3 linked regions of the Styela clava genome follow. The protein of the gene in region 1 purifies or fractionates together with the protein of each later gene. This does not show direct contact. Links are inferred from orthologs where the notes say so. Each region holds a gene or a part of one and is shown in the gene's direction. Other genes may lie near its edges. The genes, in order: clusterin-associated protein 1-like, intraflagellar transport protein 46 homolog and intraflagellar transport protein 27 homolog.

The links.
Region 2: the proteins of clusterin-associated protein 1-like (region 1) and intraflagellar transport protein 46 homolog purify together in Homo sapiens (affinity purification with mass spectrometry; 3 studies listed by BioGRID and IntAct, with this or other methods). This does not show direct contact. The link is inferred for Styela clava from reciprocal best matches to the Homo sapiens genes CLUAP1 and IFT46.
Region 3: the proteins of clusterin-associated protein 1-like (region 1) and intraflagellar transport protein 27 homolog purify together in Homo sapiens (affinity purification with mass spectrometry; 3 studies listed by BioGRID and IntAct, with this or other methods). This does not show direct contact. The link is inferred for Styela clava from reciprocal best matches to the Homo sapiens genes CLUAP1 and IFT27.

Annotation. Positions count from the first base shown.
Region 1 is NC_135250.1:18,041,660-18,045,419, reverse strand, and holds the start of clusterin-associated protein 1-like, read left to right. Parts: upstream 1-1,136; 5' UTR 1,137-1,204; coding exon 1,205-2,164; intron 2,165-2,601; coding exon 2,602-2,916; 3' UTR 2,917-3,760. UniProt on the Homo sapiens protein: Required for cilia biogenesis. Appears to function within the multiple intraflagellar transport complex B (IFT-B). Key regulator of hedgehog signaling.
Region 2 is NC_135257.1:13,333,369-13,337,128, forward strand, and holds intraflagellar transport protein 46 homolog, read left to right. Parts: upstream 1-774; 5' UTR 775-988; coding exon 989-2,050; 3' UTR 2,051-3,406; downstream 3,407-3,760. UniProt on the Homo sapiens protein: Forms part of a complex involved in intraflagellar transport (IFT), the bi-directional movement of particles required for the assembly, maintenance and functioning of primary cilia. May play a role in chondrocyte maturation and skeletogenesis.
Region 3 is NC_135255.1:20,075,694-20,079,238, forward strand, and holds intraflagellar transport protein 27 homolog, read left to right. Parts: upstream 1-987; 5' UTR 988-1,096; coding exon 1,097-1,660; 3' UTR 1,661-2,898; downstream 2,899-3,545. Other genes in the region: uncharacterized protein LOC120328394, read right to left, coding at 3,431-3,481. UniProt on the Homo sapiens protein: Small GTPase-like component of the intraflagellar transport (IFT) complex B that promotes the exit of the BBSome complex from cilia via its interaction with ARL6. Not involved in entry of the BBSome complex into cilium. Prevents aggregation of GTP-free ARL6.

The DNA of each region.
Region 1 (3,760 bases):
CATAGGTATCACTCCATAAAAAGATAGGTATCAGTAATAAATGACTAAAAAGGTAGGTATCAGTAGTAGATGACTAAAAAGGTAGGTATCAGTAGTAAATAACTAAAAAGGTACCGGTAGGTATCAGTAGTAGATGACTAAAAAAGGGGGCTCCCGAAGTATGCGAACCGAGATGGCGGACATCGGAATGTAATATGTGTACTAGGTTAGGGTTAGGCCATAATTTTAGGTATAAATACTACGGGAGGCCCTTGGCTAGTCTTCGAACTGATAATAGGACTAAAATAAGGAAAATTGGAAAAAAATTATCGCCTAACCCTAACCTGTTACTGATACCTACCTTTTTAGTCATTTACTACTGATACCTACCTTTTTAGTCATTTACTACTGATACCTACCTTTTTAGTTATTTACTACTGATACCTACCTTTTAGTCATCTACTACTGATACCTACCTTTTTAGTCATCTACTACTGATACCTACCTTTTTAGTGAGTGATACCTATGATACCTACCTTTTTAGTGAGTGATACCTATGATACCTACCTTTTTAGTAGGGCCCAGTTAGGTAGCCTAGACATCTCACATCGGTACTGGTACCGTACATCTGCACATCAGTAGACTACATACAGGCATACGGCTGTACAGTAACTTACCGTACTATACTGATCTACAAATAAATACAGGTAGAGGGAGATAAATGATTATCATATTATAGAATCCTGGAATCAGGATCAGAGGATGTCAAACAAAACCTCCACGCATCCATCAGTCTGTCAGTCCATGCTGTCTCGAACACATGACAGTACCGTACCGTACGGTATAACTCGCTTACACATGACTGCATGATGAGGAGAGTCAGCATATAGTTCATAGTCTATATGCCTAAAGTTTCTCTGTTCTGTGCCACTTGTTGTGATATTTTACAGTTATAGGACGACTTGCAGACTTGGGTAATTTTCTTTATGTATCTTTGGAGGTGTAAGCAACCTGTTTTGGAGTTTACAGTGAGAATGCTTCAGATATTTTTTATCTATCACACCTGCCTCCTTCATCCTTTATCCAGTGAGCATAAGATGGTAACTTCATTTCCAATTTGTCTTGATTTATCTTAACTTTGTTTTTATATGACACAATGTTAAATTGTTTTTGCAGTGTAAATCATAATCTAGAACTTTTTAGGAAAGGTGCAAACATCAGAAATATGTCTTATCGTGATCTACGAAACTTCACTGAAATGATGAGGGCTCTTGGATACCCAAGAATGATTTCAATCGAAAATTTTAGAACGCCAAATTTCCCTCTAGTAGCCGAAATCTTACTATGGCTTGTACAAAGGTATGATCCAAATGTTACTCTACCCACAGACACTGATACTGAACAAGACAGAGTTATATTCATCAAATCTTCCTCACAATTTGTTGCTACGAAAGCTCATATTAAACTGAACACAAAAAGGCTTTACATGGCTGATGGGTATGCTGTGAAAGAACTTGTAAAGATAGCTAGCGTTTTATACAGTGCAATGAAATCGACACATTCATCTGATGGAAAAGAAAACGATTCTGGAGACGCATCATCTCTGTCTTTCGACATTGATTCAAAAATACAAGACTTAAAAGCTGTACGAAAACTCTCAACGGAAATTACTGAAAGAGGTGCTCTTTTGTATGACCTTTTGGGCAAAGAAATTGACTTGCGAGAAGCCAGATTGACAGCTTTAGCTCAGCCTTTGGAAATAAATGAAATTGAAAAAGGGCTGCGTATTAGTATTCAATCGGTTGAGAAAGAAGTACAAAAAACATTACACATGCTTGACAATATTGCTTCTGATGAAGTTAACCTAGAAGCCAAGATTGCAAAACGAAAAACCGAACTTGAAAGATCGCAAAAGAGACTTAAAACACTGGAAAGTGTGCGACCTGCATTTATGGATGAGTTCGAGCAACTAGAAGAAGATCTCAAAATACAATATGAATCTTACTTATATAAATTCCGGAATATGACTCATCTTGAACAGCAGTTGGAAGACTTGAAGGGACAAGAACAAATGAGAATGGAAGAAACTGAATCAACAATGAAAAAAATGCAAGATCGTTTGAGAGAAGAAGAAAAAAGAACAATCTTGAGCACAGTTGCAATGGATCAAATGGAGCAAGATATGGTATGTATGAAGTTTCGGATCAGATGTATATGATTTGTGATATGTAATTCTAAAAGAAAACAGCAACAAAAATGTTGGTGGTGTACTGGGTGAAATGTTATATAGAGTTAAAGACTGTTAACATAATATCTAGTTATTAATAAATACACTAATCAATTCAATAATACACAATATTCATATTGTGTACTAGAAATGTATATATACATAATTTCAACATCCCTAGTGGGTTTTAACACAAAGGAAAACTAATTTGCAAGCTGAATTCCATTTGGCATTTTGATCTTCTAATTTAACAGCATTTATAAAGAAAAACTTGATGCTCAAACTGTACAGTAGTCTGTTTTAGCCATTTATTCAACATGGAAATTTCTAAACAAGTTTGTTCAATTCAGTATCAATAGACATGTTTTGTTCTAACAATGTATTCAATATCTTAGGATGAGGGAGGAAGCGATTTGGAGGATAGTATGGAAGGAGAACGTCCAGCATACCATCAAACAAGCCGACCAAGCAGACCACCTGCTGGTGTGGGTCCAAGAAATAATATGTATGGTGATGAAGGGAGTGATGATGACGATGATGAAGAAACCTTGTCAAGCAGCAATCTGAGTGTTGTCGATGATAATGAGGATCTTACAGGAGACGATAGTGATGACTTCCTTGATGACATGGCAGGAGAAAGAGCGATTGGTGCAGGTGGCGACCCAAGACGTCATCATGATGTTATTGATGATGACGATGGGGAATTTTAAGCCTCCCACTACAATTCTTTCACGTACTCTTATCAGCATTGAATGCTTGATCTACTTTCGTAAAGAGAAAAAAAACAGAAGTGTATTAATCAACCTTTTTGTCATGATTTTTTTTGGAAATTTTTAGATTGTCACTTATATCAAACTCTGCTAGTTTCACTCAGTGGTAATATTTGTTCCATGTATATATATATATATTACACTGGTGAAGTGCTCAATATATGGTCTTTCGAATAACTTTTGTTTAAACTCTCTATGTCTGATGTAGTTGTGTAATTTTGTGTTGTAATTTTTTTACGTAACAGTAATAGGAAAAAAACTCATTGTCAAGAAATTCCCACCATTTTTGCACAATACCGGAATCTCTATTTAAAAGTCTTTATAGCTTTATTTGGACACAAGTGCACTCAGTACCTATGCTTCGTTTTTAATAATTGTCGCTGTTGGGGTTTTTAGGGCTGTTGCTGTTGTGAAAAAATAGCTATTATCTGCAACTAATGGACCAATCTGGTTCAGTTTTAAAAGATAGTACTTCTATAGTTTTTTTGTTCAATTATCTTTTGAATTGTAAGAAGACTCACTATGTATCCGAAATTTTTATAATTTTATAATTCATGGGCACGACGCTTTAATGTGATAATTAGTACAGCTTTAACGTTTGATCGCTCAAATTTAGCTGGCATTAGCCATGTTATGATATGACATGTAAATTTATTATTAAAGCATTGCTCTCCTGAATTTAAAAAGCAGAAGATAATTATGACAATTATGTAGTTAAAAGTGGCCAAAAGTATTAGTTGTGTAACTTGTGTACCTTAGTCATGTAATGAGCATTTCATTATAA
Region 2 (3,760 bases), on another chromosome or scaffold:
ACAGCGGGCCTATCCCAAACATATTCATAACCTGCACAGTACCAAAGTGACAAGGGCACACGTGTGATTTTGAGAGATTGTTAATACGAGAGTTCATTAGAGCGTATAAGTATTTTCAACAGCTACATTTAAGTAGTGATACGCATTGCTTAATCTCGTCCATCTCCAAGACACCACTGCGAAGCTATTGTCGCTCTACAGATATTGTAAATGCTTTGAATCTGTAAACTCAGAAACTAGTAAACGACAAAAATAATGTTAGTGGAAAGGGTTTATGAATGTAAATGTTTCGCGATCAACCCATTTCTTTGTTTATCACGCAACAATGGTGACGTAACAATCAAAAATTCATCACTTCCCGGACTCTTGCTTTAACATCAGAACATCGAAGTCTCGATTTAAACAACTTTTTGTGAGCGTCGACTCGATTTCGCAGTTTTATTTGTCGGTTTTTAAGTGTAGACTATACGGTATACGCTATGGTCATCGTTTATTCGTCTAGTCGTGGGAGAGCGTTGATAAGTGATTGCTGCTGGGTTGTAGCTGATTATAATTTTAGTGCGATAAACAATAATCTTTTGCCAGTTGTAGACCTATGGTATTACATTTATCAAAATCAGGGTTTCTATTAAATTTATATTAACCAAAGTCGTCAAATTGAATCCAGATAATAAAATCCTTGTAAATTCATGTGTTTGTAGTGAAATAGGTATCGAGCTAAATTAAGGGATGAATGTTTTGGTACCTAAACGGCTAAATGAAACCGTGAATTTCACTGCCCAAGTTTTTTATTTTAAAATATAAGGCTAGGCTATAGTCCGATTTGGTGTTTAATGAAATTTGTAACACCCTGGTGTTCTATATTGCATTCACTAATAAATTTAAAAGTCAAAAGTACAAGTTTTCTGCACTGCTCAATACCTTAAACTATTGTCTGAACAAACACTTTCAGCAGTCTTGATTCATTTATTTGTTCGTAACATGGTACATGGCTTCAAATGACGAAAACACTAAACTAGTTGTTAATCAGCATTACGACGAAAGCTTGGATGTGAACGATTCTGAAGAAATTGCCAGTTTATATAGCCCTAGCCCAAGAAAGACTCCAACACCGCTTCTGCAACCGGGACCTGAGAAGCCAAAATATAATAAGATGTCATCACAAGATGATGATGATCAAATATCAAATGAATTTGGAGATAACGATGCCACTGATGGTTCTCCTGGTGATGTTGCTGATCCCCAAGCTCAAGCAAGGTCTGGGACATCAACAATGAGCGAAGGAGATTCTTCAGAGGACAGCGACTCGTCTTCTGGTGATGAAGAAAATGGAACAGCCCTAGAAGGTGCTTATGATCCTGCAGATTATGAAGGTTTGAATGTAAGCGTGGAGATAAAAGATTTGTTCCAATACATTACTCGATACACACCTCAAACTATTGAGCTTGAGCACAAATTAAAACCATTTATACCTGAATACATTCCTGCGGTCGGTGACATTGATGCATTCATAAAAGTATCAAAACCTGACAATTCATCCAGTTTACTTGGACTCACTGTATTAGATGAACCATGTGCAAAGCAATCAGACCCTACGGTTCTTGATCTGCAGTTGAGGAGTATCTCAAAAATGTCTGGTATAAAGGCAATGCAAGTTCGTAGTCTCAAAGATGCTCAAACCAATCCCAAATCTGTGGAATCCTGGATTGAAAGTATAGAAGATTTACGTAGGACAAAGCTTCCACAAAATGTACACTACACAAAAAGCATGCCAGATATTGAACAACTCATGCAGGAATGGCCTCCTGAATTTGAAGCTCTTCTTTCTAAGGTTCGACTACCATCTGCAGATCTTGATTGTGATTTACAAAAATATATTGACATGATATGCGCCGTGTTAGATATTCCCATATATCCAGGCAATAAAGTGCAATCACTTCACGTTTTATTCAGCCTCTACATGGAGTTCAAGAATTCCCAGCACTTTCAAACTGCTAGTCCCAATGAACATCATGATGTGAACGAGCCAGATGTAATGACTTTTGATTAATGTCATATAATACTGCATCAGGTGCTCCTTTTTTCATTTGCAGCTTATGGAAACAGTTACTGTGACACATTCATTCAAATTTGTCCCATTGAACTGCGCTAGTAACTTAGTCATGATTTATAGTATATTTTTGTATCGAATGTTTCTAAGTGTATATATGTTTTAGATAGTGTTCATCACTGTTATGTATGATCTCTCACTTCAGACTTTCATAATAATTCAATATAACTGTTACCACTCTCTCTCCAGGGATGGCCATAACTAAATACTTTGCTATTTCGAATACATTCTAAAGTTCCCCTCATATTTTATTCACTTTTCTGATAATAATATCATTGTAAAGCAGCACAAATGGAATGTGTGATAGTATTGAAATTAGTGGTTTTCTTGCTTCTAAGAAAAAAAGACATGATAAACATACAGTATTCACACCTGTGAATGGTGGTGTATCTTGGTATTCACAGAAAAAAGTGCAACTATTCGTCTAGTGAAATGTTTTGAATTCTACAGAAAAATCAAAGTTAATAACAACACACACACTTTTGTTATAACTTCTGACTGTTTATCGTCAGCGTATGTGTTATTTATTCCACCAACATAGTTAAGCTAAATTCAGCCACAGTTATCCCTCTACACAAAAATTAATTGTTGTGCAAGCGTGATCTTTAAATTTTATTTTGCTCCACCATTCGTTGATTCAGAAAAACGCAAATGTTATTACGCAGTCATTGTCATAATTAAATGAGTGAACCCAATTTCCATCAGCTAATGACAAAAAATTAGGACTGAAAATCGTGTTTTATTTTTTAGTAAGCGCTGATTCAAATCTTTCATGTCAGTTGTTATGCTCCTAAATTAAAACCGCCTACTGAACAATATTATCATCAACGACAACGGGATAACGTAAAATCCCCGATACTAAATAATAGTTGAGAACTATTTTCTTCGCTGTAAATTGCAGCAATGTAAAAATTTCCTGTTATGTTCGGTCACTATCGAAAGTGAGTATGAAAACAATTAATTCCGACACAATTTGCTTTCGGATTTTTTGCTGTGGCCGCACAAAGTATCTCGACTAAGTTGAAATATACGATACTAATTGTAAAATATTTGAGACATTTTATAAGCCCTAATTTAAATCTATTTATTGGCACGTCACACAAGTCCGTCTTGATTACGATAAAAAGTAATTGTAAAATGTTTTCAATCAAATCGTTGGCGGTATGCTCGGACTGGGTCATCATGAACATCTTTATATAGACCTCTACCACTCTGGCCCACAAATAAATACTCAATTTGACAACTCTCTGATTTGTAAAATTTTCATGCTATTTTTCTAATACATGGCAAAAGAACTTAAGTTTTTAACTATACTTAATTCTCCCACCGGAAGGGTAAATGGTTAAGGATAGCCATTTGTGTACTTGTCATGCATCTGATTTTTGCACCACTTACCCAAAACATTAGGTGAAATTGCTCTATAATCAGGCTTATAATAAGTAGGACCGTCGCCATACATCTGATTTTTGCACTACTTCCCCAAAACATTAGGTGAAATTGCTCTCATAATCACACATTAAGTAGGACCGTCACCAACCTCTTGTGCTCTGATATCAATTGTAATAAAAGTGAGCGCCGCATCGCTAATTCTGCAAAGAGCAGACATACTCTCTTAGGAACCCCAAAATGAATGATATATGATGAATGTCT
Region 3 (3,545 bases), on another chromosome or scaffold:
ATTGCTTTTTGTTTAAAACTTTAAGGAAATGGTTAAATTTCACAAAGTTTTCATTTAAAAATTCATAATCTCGAGCATTTGCCTATGATGGTCAGTCATTAAATTACCTCTTTTTAACCAGTTTTACCGAATCAAAATTTCAGTATGCAGACATGTCGGCTAATATCCTTAACTAACATCTCTTTTTGTCAAACGCTTGAAAATCCAGTTGTGAATATTGTCTGATCTTCGATAACTTTTATTTCTTTATGATTACCGTAAGCTTCTTTTAAGGATATCACATTCCCAGATAAGTCTGTAGACGTCGCCCTTACACGTAGCTCCGATATGAATTCCATTCTTTTTTTATCAAGAACATTGAATAAAATCTTTTCCTGTGTCCATTCCATATACCAGGTTTCCTTCTAAATAATATTGCCGGTACCACATAGATTTGCGATCAGAGTTCCAGATCAAAGAGTATCCCATCGTTCAACACGTCCGCACCCCACGGTGGTCAGATCCGAATGGACATGTCAGTTCTTACCGGTCACCCCTACCTGACTAAGCCATTCAAACAGCTATTTCTCTCGTTTTCTTCTTGCAACGATCCCGATAGGAGAGAGATCACAGACGTTAGTCAGTTCTTTATCGTCGGCATCAATGCCATTCCGGGCGATCGTGCATGAAATTGACAAGCTCTATGACGTGATTGTTATGTCTTAGTGACATAATTTTTGGATGGCATAGTCAGGTGGGGGTTGTGTCAAAAAAATTTTATGCTACGCTACGTCATGCATCTGAAATATATAACTGTAAGTAAGCATAATTAGTATAATTTATTCATCACCATGTGAAAATTAAAGATACATTCACAAACAGAAGCAAAGCATTGTTAGGTATACCAGTAATGTAATTTAATTGCCTTATTATCGTCACATACTAATTCTCTCCACATACCTACTGCATTGACCCACACAGTCTTTCAAATGCACAGCACTGAAATATTTTTCATTTGCATTATTACAATAGTATTTTAATTAATATTGTGTAATATAGTTAGTGTCTAATAATATCAAACCTATTGGTGATTGAAAATTTCCACGGAAAAAATAAAATGGGAGTTCTACGAGCAAAATGTGTCATTGTTGGTGACTGTACTGTCGGGAAAAGTGCGATTACACAAGTTTTTCACAGCGATGGGACGATGTTTCCAAAAAACTACACGATGACTACGGGAGTCGAGGTTTGTCAAAAAGTCATTCCTGTTCGAGAACGTGGTGATTTTGTCGATATTTTTATGTTCGATTCAGCTGGAAAAGATGTTTTTTCTGAAATCTGTGAAAAACATTGGGACGATATTGGAATGCTTGCTGTTGTTTTTGATGTTACGGACATCGAGTCGCTTAACCGTGTGAAAAACTGGCGGAATAAAATGAAAGAACATATCAACCCGGAAAAAAATATTCCGAGCGTTCTCATCGGTAACAAAGTGGATTTGGACCTAAGGCGGCAGGTGACAACAGAGGAAGGTGAAGAACTTGCCGAACAATTGGGAATGACGTACTTTGAAGTTTCTGCAAAAGGCAATGAAGGAATTGAAGCACCTTTTCAATATCTTGCTCAAAAGTTTGCAGACCATCATCAAGACTCTCGAGAAAATGTACAAATGCTAGAATAACTGTTTATATCTATTACTTGTAAATAGTACTAATAGTGTCAACTTTGATACGAAACGTTCAATGAACCGGAACTAGACAGCACTAGCTCCATTCTCATTCAGACTATTTTATTCTGACCGTTTATGACAAAAAATAAGCTCTTACTGTTATGGTTCTTTGTTTTATTATTTTCTGGGTTAGAATTAACAAAGCATACCTGCCTAAAGGAATACTGGTATTGTTGATAAAGCGCATAATAATATAGTACTATATTCGTAATAATATGAAGTCGAGTTGGACTAAACTGAAAAATACATTCATTTTGGTAAAATTCTTTCCCCGAAATAAAATTGGATTAGTTGGAGTTGTCTATAAATGTCAACTCTCAATTTATTATATTGCATTATAGAATTTAGGAATAATTTTGAAAAGTTTAAGTTATAAAATATGCTTGACCAAAATACCCTCATTTCAATGTTTGAAAAACTGTAAAAAAGAAGAGATGGTCAAACTATTATTCATCATAACTCTCCTGCATTCCCAAATCAAACTGTAACTTCAATAAGTTCTCTGTAGGACATGACCCTTCTCAGTATATAATTTTACTTTCATATTTGTATTAATCATTTATGCAGCTTAGGTGGATAATTGGCTACATCTGGCTGTTTTTTACATGTACAAATTCATATTTGAAGGTTCTAATTTTGTTTTCGTCTTTTCTAAATAATTTGTGGATTTTTATGGAATCTTTGTATTGTTTTGTGTTAGAATATTAGGTGCTATACTGTTGTCCCACCACTAAATTTCTATTTTTCTCAAATTCTGTTTATCTTAGGTTAGGTTAATATAAGTTAGAAATTGTGGGGATGAAATTCGGCTCTCTCTGGCCAGTGCTGGGTTATTGCCCTGACTCGAGTTGGATTAGAGTCACTGTTCATAAAAGTGACTCAAGACGTATAATTGATATGTCTTGGGCTCGATTTTCTGTCAGTGGGCTGAGTTATTGACCCAACTTCAGACTTGAATGACTGACTGATGACTTGTAACTCGAGTATAAGTAGTTAATGAGAAAAGCCATTTTTCCGAAACAACTAGAAAAATACTAACAACAACATAATAACAGATCAGAAACTTAGTGGTGGGACAAAAATACTAGTACGGTACCGGTACTTTATTTTTATGTAGTGCTGTATTTTGGTAAATTTATTATTGTGTGAATTTCACTGTATAATTTTTTATGTATATTTTTAGATAAAAGATTTATAATAGTGTAGTAATAGCTAAAATTTTGCCATTCAAGTCTAAGACATCAAAACTGGATTAAACATAATATAGGATAAATACCCAATGGGCAGACCTACACCAACAGCTGAGTAGCGGGGGAAATGCTGGAATTCCTGGGATAAATATTTCAAATGTTTGGAAGACAATTCGTCTGCAGGAAATAAGGAATCCATTTGCTCAAATTCATATAAAGAGTTTGTTGCAGATTGCCTTCCTGTTTGGGTAAGAGTTTTGGCGCTGCAGAAGTGTGTGTTCCAATATTGCGGTAACTACCGTGATTTTGTTCGCCTACTTTGCCTCAAGTTGTGTAAAGAGACTGAAACCTATAGGGGGTTTATTCACTTGTCTAACACAGATAGTACCCGAACTCGTAATAGAACTAAAATAAGGAAAATCTGAACAAAATTATGGCCGAACCCAAACCTGGTACACATACTTCGGGAGTACCAGAGTGTCACTGTTTGATTTTCCTTTGAATTTTTACAATTAAAAAACCCATCTCTTACTCGGTGGTTTGGCGAGCGTATTCCTATTGCTCATCAGGATGCTCCACATCGCTGGAAAAATATTGAAATTCATGAATTTGAATACTTTTAGAACTATAGCTACTGCATCTGAACC